Ovis aries: one gene and its partner. The protein of the gene in region 1 purifies or fractionates together with the protein of each later gene. This does not show direct contact. Links are inferred from orthologs where the notes say so. Each region holds a gene or a part of one and is shown in the gene's direction. Other genes may lie near its edges.

Evidence for each region. Proteins that work in one complex are often made in the same cells at the same time.
Region 2: the proteins of CCNT1 (region 1) and LARP7 purify together in Homo sapiens (affinity purification with mass spectrometry; 10 studies listed by BioGRID and IntAct, with this or other methods). This does not show direct contact. The link is inferred for Ovis aries from reciprocal best matches to the Homo sapiens genes CCNT1 and LARP7.

Annotation. Positions count from the first base shown.
Region 1 is NC_056056.1:137,456,138-137,462,106, forward strand, and holds the start of CCNT1 (cyclin-T1), read left to right. Parts: upstream 1-2,700; 5' UTR 2,701-2,755; coding exon 2,756-2,916; intron 2,917-5,969. UniProt on the Homo sapiens protein: Regulatory subunit of the cyclin-dependent kinase pair (CDK9/cyclin-T1) complex, also called positive transcription elongation factor B (P-TEFb), which facilitates the transition from abortive to productive elongation by phosphorylating the CTD (C-terminal domain) of the large subunit of RNA polymerase II (RNA Pol II).
Region 2 is NC_056059.1:13,386,918-13,392,721, reverse strand, and holds the start of LARP7 (la-related protein 7), read left to right. Parts: upstream 1-1,838; 5' UTR 1,839-1,994; intron 1,995-5,804. UniProt on the Homo sapiens protein: RNA-binding protein that specifically binds distinct small nuclear RNA (snRNAs) and regulates their processing and function.

The DNA of each region.
Region 1 (5,969 bases):
TCATCTACTTTATCCCTTTACTCCATACCTATCATCATTTCCTCAATTTTTCTGGAGTAAAATGGAGCTAATGGTAGCTCAGATGGTAAAGAATCTGTCTATAGTGCAGGAGCTCTGAGTTCAAGTCCTGGGTCGGGAAGATCCCCGGGAGAAGGGAATGCCAACCCACTCCAGTATTCTTGCCTGGAAAATCCCATGGACAAAGGAGCCTGGCAGGCTATAGTCCATGGGGTTGCAAAGAGTCAGACAGAACTGAGTGACTAACACTTCAGTCAGTTCAGTTCAGTTCAGTCGGTCAGTCGTGTTCGACTCTTTGCGATCCCATGAATTGCAGCACACCAGGCCTCCCTGTCCATCACCAACTCCTGGAGTTCACTCAAACTCATGTCCATCGAGTCAGTGATGCCATCCAGCCATCTCATCCTCTGTCATCCCCTTTTCCTCCTGCCCCAATCCCTCCCAGCATCAGAGTCTTTTTCAATGAGTCAACTCTTCGGATGAGGTGCCCAAAGTACTGGAGTTTCAGCTTTAGCATCATTCCTTCCAAAGAACATCCAGGACTGATCTCCTTTAGAATGGACTGGTTGGATCTCCTTGCAGTCCAAGGGACTCTCAAGAGTCTTCTCCAACACCACAGTTCAACAGCATCAATTCTTCGATGCTCAGCTTTCTTCACAGTCCAACTCTCACATCCATACATGACCACAGGAAAAACCATAGCCTTGACTAGATGGACCTTTGTTGGCAAAGTAATGTCTCTGCTTTTGAATATGCTATCTAGGTTGGTCATAACTTTTTTTCCAAGGAGTAAGCATCTTTTAATTTCATGGCTGCAATCACCAGCTGCAGTGATTTTGGAGCCCAGAGAAATAAAGTCTGACACTGTTTCCACTGTTTCCCCATCTATTTCCCATGAAGTGATGGGACCAGATGCCATGATCTTCATTTTCTGAATGTTGAGCCAACTTTTTCACTCTCCTCTTTCACTTAATGCTAACTATAGGCAGTATATGGCAGAGGAAGGCTTGCAGTAAAAGAAAATACTTCTGAGAATGAATTAGAATCAAACTGAGTGGGAAACGCCATGTCTAGAAATGACAAAACTCAAAATATTTTTTATAAAAGACAAAAGGTTCTAATATTACTCAAATATAATCAAGGTGAATTGACTGTTCCAGGAAAGCAAGAACAATGAAATTATATTTGATTTTAAAATCTACATTTACAAGTAGTATAGTGTAGGGCAAATTACCTAATCTCCCAAGCCTCAGTTTCTTTATTATAGGTTGTAGTGACCATTTGTTTGACAAACATTCATTTACTAGGGCCAGGACTACAGTAGGTAGGTGCTAAGGATATAAAAGCATAGATGGTATTGTTCCTACCCTCAACTTCACATAATGTAATAAATATTATGAGGAAACCTACTGAATGTTTTCTATGTGCCCAGTACTACTACAACTGTTTGTAACTTATCAAATCACTTAATCCTTTTCAGAACCTAAATCGTATGTACTGCATACCATTTAGGAGAAGGCAATGGCACTCCACTCCAGTACTCTTGCCTGGAAAATTCCATGGATGGAGGAGCCTGGTAGGCTGCAGTGCATGGGGTCACAAAGAGTCGGACACGACTGAGCGACTTCACTTTCACTTTTCACTCATGCATTGGAGAAGGAAATGGCAACCCACTCCAGTGTTCTTGCCTGGAGAATCCCAGGGACGGCGGAGCCTGGTGGGCTGCGGTCTATGGGGTCGCACAGAGTCGGACACGACTGAAGCGACTTAGCAGCAGCAGCATACCATTTATAACAGGTACAGGGAAGTTAAGTATCTTGCCTAGGAACAAACAGCCCTCAAGCTTGGAGCGGGGATATAGCTTGACAGTGGACAGGAATTTAAAAATCTGCATGCGCAGGATGGTAGTGGAAGTTTTCCACACGGAAGGAGCAGTTTTAGTTCATCCGGTCATACAATGGGGTTAAGATAGTACCACTTTTCCGGGTTGTTCCGATTGAATAAGAGTCAGCGATGTGGTAAGCACTAAATTATTAATAAAATGAAATTATTAATTTATTTTATTCCTTTAAATTGGTTCAGCGTGGCGAATCATTAGTGTCTTCGAGGATTTAGCTACGCGTTGAAGCTTTTCAAGTGGGTAATTTATACTGCTACCAACGAATTCAAGAGCTTCCGGTGGCTTTATGTTACGATATACGATAGGGCTACTCGCTTTGATTACTTTTTTCAGTTTTTGATACTCTTACCCATTTTCTCTGTCAAGTTCTCTATCTGCCTCATTTTGTACAGCCACCTCCGTCACAAGCGAAATTCTCCGAGAAACCGCCACGCGGCGCGAGGGCGGGAGCCTCACCCACCCACAGCCTTTGCCTCGCCCCCTCGGTCAGGGCGCGAAGGCTCAAAATAGTTCTCGCGAGAGGAGACTTTTTTTTTTTTTAACGAGAACTCCTAACCCCACCTTGCCTTTCCAGGGTCACATGACTGGCGCCTGCGTCCTAGAACCAAGGTTTTTCTGATCGCCTACTGGCTGTTAACTCGGCTGCAGGCTGACCAGGGGTCCATTCCGGAAGTAGATCCTTTACTTCCTCCCCGGAAGCGTGTCACAACCTAGCCGTCCGGCCTTTGCGGAAGTTCGTCACGTCGCAGTTGCCCCCGCACAGCGGATGTGTGTCGCCGCTTAGGTGACGCCGAGAAGTGCTTGCAGCCGCCGCCGCTGCCTTCTGGTTGAAGCACTATGGAGGGAGAGAGGAAGAACAACAATAAACGGTGGTATTTTACTCGAGAACAACTGGAAAATAGCCCGTCTCGTCGTTTTGGCTTAGATCCAGATAAAGAACTTTCTAATCGCCAGCAGGCGGCCAATCTGCTCCAGGACATGGGCCAACGTCTTAACGTGTATCCTTGCGGCCTAGGCCTTTCGGCCTTGAAGTCGGTCCCGCCCTGCTCTGCTTCCAGTCTTCAAGGTCTGTTAGACAAGAAGGGAGGAGGGTGGGCAGGGACTGGGTGTCTAGTTAGGAGAGCCTACGATGGGCAAAACTTAAGTGTTCGCGAGAGGGAAGCGAGGCGGAGTTAATTTCCCGCTCGCTCACCGGTGCCACCAGCCTTAGTGGGAATGAGTTTCCTTCCCGCTTTGTATTTTAAAGTAGTAGTAGTCCCATTTCGGTGTGTTGTGATCTCCTGTTCTGGTGACTTTGAGATTCTGCTTTTCTGTTATGCCCAAAGTGTCTAGTGGAGGTTTCACTGTTGATGGCTGCCTTAAACTTACTGTGTACAGAGAGTTTTGAGAAATTTCAGTACCTGAGGGTCTTATTAAAAGGGTGGCTTAGAATTAATACCCTAGCTTTGGCTTAAAATCCGTTCCTTCCACTTACTGCTTGTTGGAGACTGGTTTATAAAATGGGATGATACCTCTTGAATTTGATTTCTATGCCTAGCACAATATTGGGCACTTATATGTTCAAAAAGTAGTTACTGTTAAGAGTTTTACAGTATTTCAGAGGAAGGAACGATGTCAGTTTAGTTTGTAGGCAAGTAGACTTACAGATCTAATGTTCTGAAAAATCTTTTATAAAATACTGGGGTTTTAAGTTACTCAAAGTGCTAATGTGTATTCGTTTTTCTCATATTTAAAAGATTTAGTGGGGTTTTTTTCCCCTTTAAGTGTTTTGGTCAGAAAACCTACTCATTTTGTAGCAGACAAAGCTGTAGAGTTTTGAAGTTCTTTCCACTTAGGAAGTAAAAAATTTGTTTTTGGGCGCAACTACCATTTAAATGTGTTGCTGGCTGTATGTTTCTTTCTTAAGGTTGTCCTCACTTGAAAAAAGGTGTCTTTGGTGCCCATATTCAGTGTGTTTCCTAAGCATCCAGTCCGTACTGAGTTAAAATTTTTTAAAATCTGTTTTAGTGCATCCTAGTAGTTTCCTTGTGTGTGTATTACTGTGGTACTGTCTCATCTCTGTGTGCTCAGTCGTGTTCCACTCTTTGCGGCCCCATAGACTGTAGCCTGGCAGGCTCCTCTGCCCATAAAAATTTCCAGGCTAGAATACTGGCTGCTAAGTCGCTTCAGTCGTGTCCGAGTCTGTGCGACCCCGTGGACTGCAGCCTACGAGGCTCCTCCGTCCATGGGATTTTCCAGGCAAGAGTACTGGAGTGGGTTGCCAATACTGGAGAGGGGTGCTATTTCTTACGGGGAGGGTGGAGGCGGAGAATTTTCCTGACCCAGGGGTTGTTCCTGTGTCTATTGCGTCTTCTGCAGTAGTAAACAGGTGGTTTCTTTACCACTAGGGCCACCTGGGAAGCCCCCATCTGTGTATATCCCACATTGTTTTCTGAGGTCTTTTTAAGTAAGGCATTCAGAAATTTCCCTTTTCAAGAGAACCCTTGGACAGTGTTGGTGGTAGTGTATATTGGTGCAGTCATTGTGGAAAACCAAATAGAGGTTTCTCAAAAAGCTAAAAATTGAATTACTATATGACCCAGCAATTCCACACCTAGGTATATAAAACAAAGACACTCATTTGGAAAGATATGAGCACTCAGTTTGTTCATAGGAGCATTGCTTATAGTTGCCACGATATGGTAGCAAACTGAATGTTCATGGACAGATGAATGAATAAAGAATAGGTGGTATATATAGACAATGGAATACTATTTAGCTATAAAAAAGTATGAAGTAATGCCGTTTACAGCAATGTGGATGGACCTAGAGGTTATCATACTCAGTGAAACAGTCAGAAAGAAAAAGACAAATGTATATTATTTACATGTGGAACCTAAGGAATACAACTGGTGGAAACAAAAGGTAGACTCAGAGCTAGAGAACAAACTAATGGTTAGCAGTGGGGAGCGGTGAGGGGGCAATGTAAGGGTGGGAGTGCGAGGTACAAACTACTGGGTGTGAGGTAGACTACAAGGATGTATTTTATATTTTACAACAAGAGGAATATAACTGTAGAAATTGGAAATGGAGCATAATCTTTAAAAAGTGTGTTAAAAATTAAAGTCGGAATTTTTCTTTTCAATGAATATCAAATAATTCATTAAATACCAAAGTGTTTCTGGTCCCAGGGATCACCTTATGAGAAGGTTTGGTTGCCAGAGGGAAGTAGAACTGAAAAGTTAATTGCTGGAGCTTAGAAGATGAGATTAGTGGAAACATTCCTAGGAGGAAATCAGTCCTGAATGTTCATTAAAAGGACTGGTGCTGAAGCTGAAACTCCAATACTTTGGCCACCTGATGTGAAGAACTGACTCATTTGAAAAGACCGTGATGCTGGGAAAGATTGAAGGCAGGAGGAGAAGGGGACGACAGAGGATGAGATGGGTGGATGGCATCACTGACTCAGTGGACATGAGTGTGAGCAAGCTCTGGGAGATGGTAAAAGACAGGGAAGCCTGGCGACACAACTGAGCAGCAGCCTAGGGGGCAGATCGGGGAGGGCTTGAGAAGATGAGATAAGCAGAAGCATACCTAGAGGACAGATCAGGGAAGGGTGTTGTGAATCAGTGTGAAGAGAGATTCTGTGCTAATGGATCACCTTGGCAGGATTTTCAGTAGACAGGTGACAGGTCTTAGGTAGTTTTGTTTGTAGTCCTCAACCCACACATATTGAGACCTTGTTTATTAATTCAGCAAGTTTATAGTGATACCTGTTTCATAGAAGGCATTGTGTTAAGTGTCAATAGTTTGATGAAAACAGATTTGCTTTTTAATTCTGAGAGGCAAGTATGATATCTTTGTTTAAAACTGAAGAATTATAATTATTGATTTCCAACATTGTGTTAGTTTCTGGTGTACAGCAAAGTGATTTAGTTATACGTATATATAAATGTCCTTTTCCATTATGGTTTTTTACAGGATATTGAGTATAGTTCCCTATGCTGTTACCTGTTTGCTTATCTGTATATATTATATATAGTTGTTGATGGCTGAGTAATACTCCATTTCG
Region 2 (5,804 bases), on another chromosome or scaffold:
ATGCTAAGTTGTTCGGACTTTTTAAAAAGACAGTAGGAGGCCAAGGCAGAATTTCAAGAATACGTTAACATAATCTGACTTGGGTTTTACCAAGATTGCTCTGGCTGCTAAATGGAGAAAGGGCAGGGCAAACGGTACACAAATGAGAAATGAATGCTTGTCCCATGATATAGTTCACAGCACAGGGCCAGACCTACAGAGGCACTGCCTTTCAGAAATATAACTCCATATCCTAATCCCTCCCCTCCAGCTAACAGGATTGACAGATGCCTAGTGAATGCCAAGAAGATAACAGAGGTCCAAAGAAACACATAGTTGACTGCTGGTTGAACAGCAACTTGCTTCTAGCCACTGAATGGGTTAGACATCAAATATATGTAGATAAGACTACATAGTGTCAACACAATGCTTGGCATGTAGCAGTTAACATTAGATCCCTTTAATAACAGTTATTATTTATTCAGTGTAAATTATATGCTAGAACACTGTTAAAATGCTTTAAATTTTACACCTTATAGTACAGATACTACTTTTTATATTCATTTTACAAAAACAGGAAGTGAGGTACATCAGTATGTAATTTGCCTAAGCTCATGAAGTAAATAAATGGCAGATTCAGAATTTAAAACTAAGTAGTCTAAATTCTGGTGTTCCCATTCACAAAAACTACATTATGTGACTATGGAAAACCTACTGTAACAGGCAAGAATGGGACTGGATTCTTTACATATAATATTTATCAGTCTCATAGTCCTAAAAGTTGTTATTACCATCACAATTTACAGGTTAGAAATCCAGTATTTACTTCTTTAGGATTACTTATATGCTGTTTACCAACTGCAAAATAAATTCCCCCATTGTTTTCCTAAATTAGAAATATTACTTGAGGGATTTGCGATGTAAAAGGTATTGAGACGGTCCTAACTCTTGTTAAGTGGTAGATTAAAGAATTACACTTCAAAAAAAAGGGAGAGATTAAATGTTTTGCGATAATTTAGTACAGAAATACATACATATCTTCACACACATTATTGTGCTGTTTTTTAGATTTATGTATAAAATTCGGTGTTATCACTAAAATATGACCTGTTCTTGCTAAGTACGATGAGATGTTTTTGGTCCTTTTCTTTTGGAACAAGCAGGATCTTTCGAATCCCTAAGTGGTTCACAGATTTAAAAATTTAAGAATCACGAGCCCAATAGCCTTTTAAGAAACGGTCCAGTCCAGACAACCAAAAGATGCTCACATTTCATTTGCCAACGTTCTAATTATCACTAGCTTGTGTAACCAGATGACAATGAAGAAGGGACCCTTTGTCAGTCCTAAAAATAAACAGCAAAACCATCCCGGGTTCTCACACGGATACCGGAACTGCCCAGCAGGAGTTGGGGGAAGGTGGTAAAGACGAAGCACTAATTATTTACAGGTTGCTGCGCCAAGCCGTGAACCAACCTTATCTCCACACAGTTTCGTTACCGAACCCCGTCTGGCGGAGCAAACTCCTTCGCCCGTCGCATCAAAATCAGTGACAGCACCTCGAGCTCAAAACTCCAGCCTATCTACCCTCAATCCCCAGAAACTCCCGAGTGGAAACAGCTCTTTTAACTTGCTCATTGCACAAAACCCACTTTCGAACTTCTCCCGCGAAAAGCCGTGACATCATCAACTCGCGACCGCACCAGATCCAACCCCACTATTTAGCCCGCCCACCACGGCTCCGGACCTGAATGGCCGTTTTCAAACTGCCAATCAAGTTCCTCTTTGGCTGCTAGCCTCTGTGGCGACTGCGTTCTCCGATGTCCCGCCCCCACGCTGAGCGGGCCTACGCCAGTGACGTAAATGTCGGTCGCACAACCTCTGGGCCCATCTTTTCCAAGGCGTTCGGAAGAATTGTCGCTCATGTGACGCTAAAATAACCACGACTATAAGGTTCGGGGGACGCGAAGGACTGAAGAACGCAGTCTCTGGCGCTGTATTTTGGGAATTGGACAGAGTAAGTTCTAAGTGGACTCTAGGGAAGCCCAGGTTGGGTGAGATCTAAATTACTCTCAGTCTTTTTCTATGCCGGTCCTTTCTGTCATCTCTGGTCCTTCTCATCCCGCCCCCTCCCACCAACCCATCAGTTAGATTGCCCTAGTGTCCTGGTTCTCTGTGCGCACGCGCAAGAGTCCTCCGGCAGCCCTTGCAGTTCCAGTTTTCTAGTGATTGGGGGCGCTTGCCGCCCGGTTTTGGGAGGTTTGGGGTAGTCCCGCGTCTGACGGCTTCCTTGAGGAAGGACGGGTACCTAAAGGGGCAGTAGTCAAAAGGGGAATTGCTTTTCTTCGCAGATTCGAGTTTTGGTGGCCAAACGATAGCGAATGTGGACTTGTATTTTTAAATTAAGTCATTTCCTTTTTCAGAACTTTTGTCTCTGTCATTCAGAGAGCTGAACATCCAGTTATGGAAGGAAGAAAAAATACAGTGTATTATTGAGTGCGTTAATAGACATACTTAAAAGGGAAACAGATGAGGCGGTTGTTTAGGGGAAATGTGCTAGCAGAAAGCTAGAAAGAGTAAGATGCCGTTTAACCTGGGCCTTGAAAATTGAATAGGACTTGATAAGACAAGGAAGACAAGAAGCTTTTAAAGCAGAGGCACAGAGACAAGAAAGTAGGCAACGCTGGATAGTCAGATGTGACTAGAACTATAGTTCTCTTAACCTTTTTGACACACCATTTCCTTTTAAAACGTGATTTAAAAGATATGGATGAGCCTCCCAGGAAAATACATATACATCTCTAAATATTTTCTATAACCTTTTAAAGAAAAATTGTGAAAGACGTTGAAATAGCCAAAAAAAAAGAGGTGTCTAGCTTACTTTTCCAGCTTACCTCTGCTTTTCATTGTCATTGAGCTATGTTACAATTATGTAAGTTATAATTGAAATAAGTCTTAAGAGTTATTGCCCTGATTAGTGTTACATCTGTTAACAAGTTCATTTCAATATTTTTGCTTGCTTGTATTTGCGCTTGTCTAGTTTTTGAGTTCACCTTTGAACTGGTTTTTAGCACTTAACTAGTTCCCTGGTTAATTACTTAAATAAAATGATTGACGAGTTCATTTTATAAACGTAGAAAAGTCATGGTTTCACCTTTAAAATTTACCTTTGAAAATTTCGTGGGATTTACAATAATTTTTGAAATCCATCCCAAATTCCATGGATTTCAGGTTAAGAATTTCTGAGCCAGGAGAGATGGACTTGTGGACACAGCCGGGGTGGGGAGGGAGAGAGTGAATGAATGGAGAAGGTAGCATCAACAGATACACACTACCGTGTGTAAAATGGATAGCTGGTGAGAAGTTGCTGTATGACACAGGGAGCCCAGTCTGGTGCTCTGTGATGACCTAGAGGAGTGGGATGGAGAAAGGGGAGGGAGGCTCAAGAGTGAGGGTATATATGTATATTTATGACTGATGGTGGCGCTACTGTTAAAAAAATCTTGCCTCCCATTGCAGGCGATGTAAGATGCAATGTTAGATCCCTGAGTCAGGAAGATCCCCTGGAGGAGGGCATGGCAACCCACTCCAGTATTCTTGCCTGGAGAATTCCTTGGACAGAGAGGAGCCTGGATGGCTGCAGTCCATGGGATCACAAAGACTCAGACACTGCTGAAGCGACTTAGCACGAACACACAGATGGCTGATTCGCGTTGTTGTACAGCAGAAACCAACACAACATTGTAAAAAAAAAAAAAATTTAACAATTTAAAAAAAGGATTTCTGAGTCAAAACGTAGACTACATGGTAAGAGGTTGCAAGAGGTTCTACTAAAACTTAGGCAGTGTGAAAGTTAAACATACCTGAGCTTACTTACCTAGCTAGCTTTAGCCAGGTCACTTAACCTTTGAGCCTTTGTAAAAAGTTAAGAGAAATAACCTAGAGGGATTATGAGGATTTAAAACAAGGTGTGTAAAGTAACTGGTGTTACACAGTAACTTTTATTCTTTGTTTAAACCCTATGAAACTAGTTGATTCATTTAACAATTTTTTAAAAATATATGCTGTGTTACCAAAAGATGCTAAAGAATTATTATTGTTGAAAGTTTTAGCATTAGAGTCACAAAATTAGACCTGTGTTTAGACAAGTTACACAGCTTCTGTGAAGGATGGAGGACTTCTCAAACAATTTATAAACAATTTCCGTATTATTATAACAGTAGTTGTGGAAAACACTGGATGAAGATAAGAGCCATTCCAAAGGTTACATTGATAGGGATTAATGACAGATTGGTAAATGATAAAATGATAATAAATAACAGTTAGATATTGTTGACTGTGTGCTGTATAGCAGCAATGGAAAGTGCTTTATCCATTTTGGTTAATTTTTAAAACAACCCTAGTATGTCAGTATAAATTTTATTCCACTTTGTAGATCGTAGAAAGTTGAGTTAACTTGCCCCAAATCCATACAGCTAGTAAATAGCTCGACTGGTTAACTAAGTAGAATATGTCATCCTTAAAGAAAATGAGGGTGGTGAGAACAGCAGAACAGACATTGCTAAGAAAGATAAGAACTTTGATTTGGAATGTATGGAATGACAGTATACCTATTTGTTATCATAGGACATTGAAAAAGTAAACTATGACTATCATGTAACTTCCTGATCTTCTGCAACCAATGTGTAGCAAAGAGAACTTGTACCATAGCTTAATTCCTGTTTAATCTAATCCATATCTGTACTCGAAAATGAAGGTATATTTGATTCTCCACAGATTTTTAAGATTGAAAGTTGCAGAGTGTTATTCACATGGGGCAAGATTTTCTGAACTTAATTCTCCAGGCCGCAAAATATATATATATATATATTTATATATGGGAAAGGAAGGAGAGTATCAGGGCTGAGAAGAGAATGCTGGGAAAAGTCTGATTTCTGGGAGATTTGTGGCTTTCTGTGTTTATGCAGTTTTGTCCACTATCTCCTTAGATGGTGGCTTTGACGATGAAAACAAATGGAGAAGTAGTGTGTGTGTGAAGTCGCTCAGTGTTGTCCAACTCTTTGCAACCCCATGGACTGTAGCTTATCAGGGTCCTCCCTCCATGGGATTCTCCAGGCAAGAGTGCTGGAGTGGGTTGCCATTTCCTTCTCCAGGGGATCTTGCCGACCCAGGGATCGAACCCGGGTCTCCTGCATTCCAGGCAGATGCTTTAACCTCTGAGCCACCAGGAGAAGTGGTAATCTGCCCTTTATAGATTTTTCAGATGAAAGAGTTAGTAGTGAATTCTGTAGTGACGATCATAGCCTACATTTGTATTTTGTTTATAATTCTACCCCCTTACAAAATAACTTGAAATGCTCAATACTTGACAATTTATTAGATGCTGTTAGTTATATTACTTAACTAGACAATAAATGCCAAGGTTGTGATCAAGCTGAAGTCTCTGCCTTCTTAGTGTTTATATTATAATGAAGCAGGCAATAAAATTATAATTCCAGGCAGGAATAAGAGCATATAAGTATAGAAAGTGGTGAGTGAGGGAGGGTAGGGTTATGGTTGGCAGGGAAGGGATATTTTAGATTTGGTGAAAGAGAAAGCCTCTTTGAGAAAGTGACATTTGCAGAGGCCTGGGTGAACAAGGAAGTAATCCCTGCAGATGTGACAGGAAACCTGGGAAACAGCAGGAGCAAAAGCCGTGGAATGGGAATGCATTAGACTGTTCAAGGAACAGAACGATGGTGTGTTGAGGTTGTAATGAGCACCCTGAAAGAAGTTGCAAGTGACGAAGTTAGAGCGAAATCCCCAGGCCAGATGTAATAGGACCTAT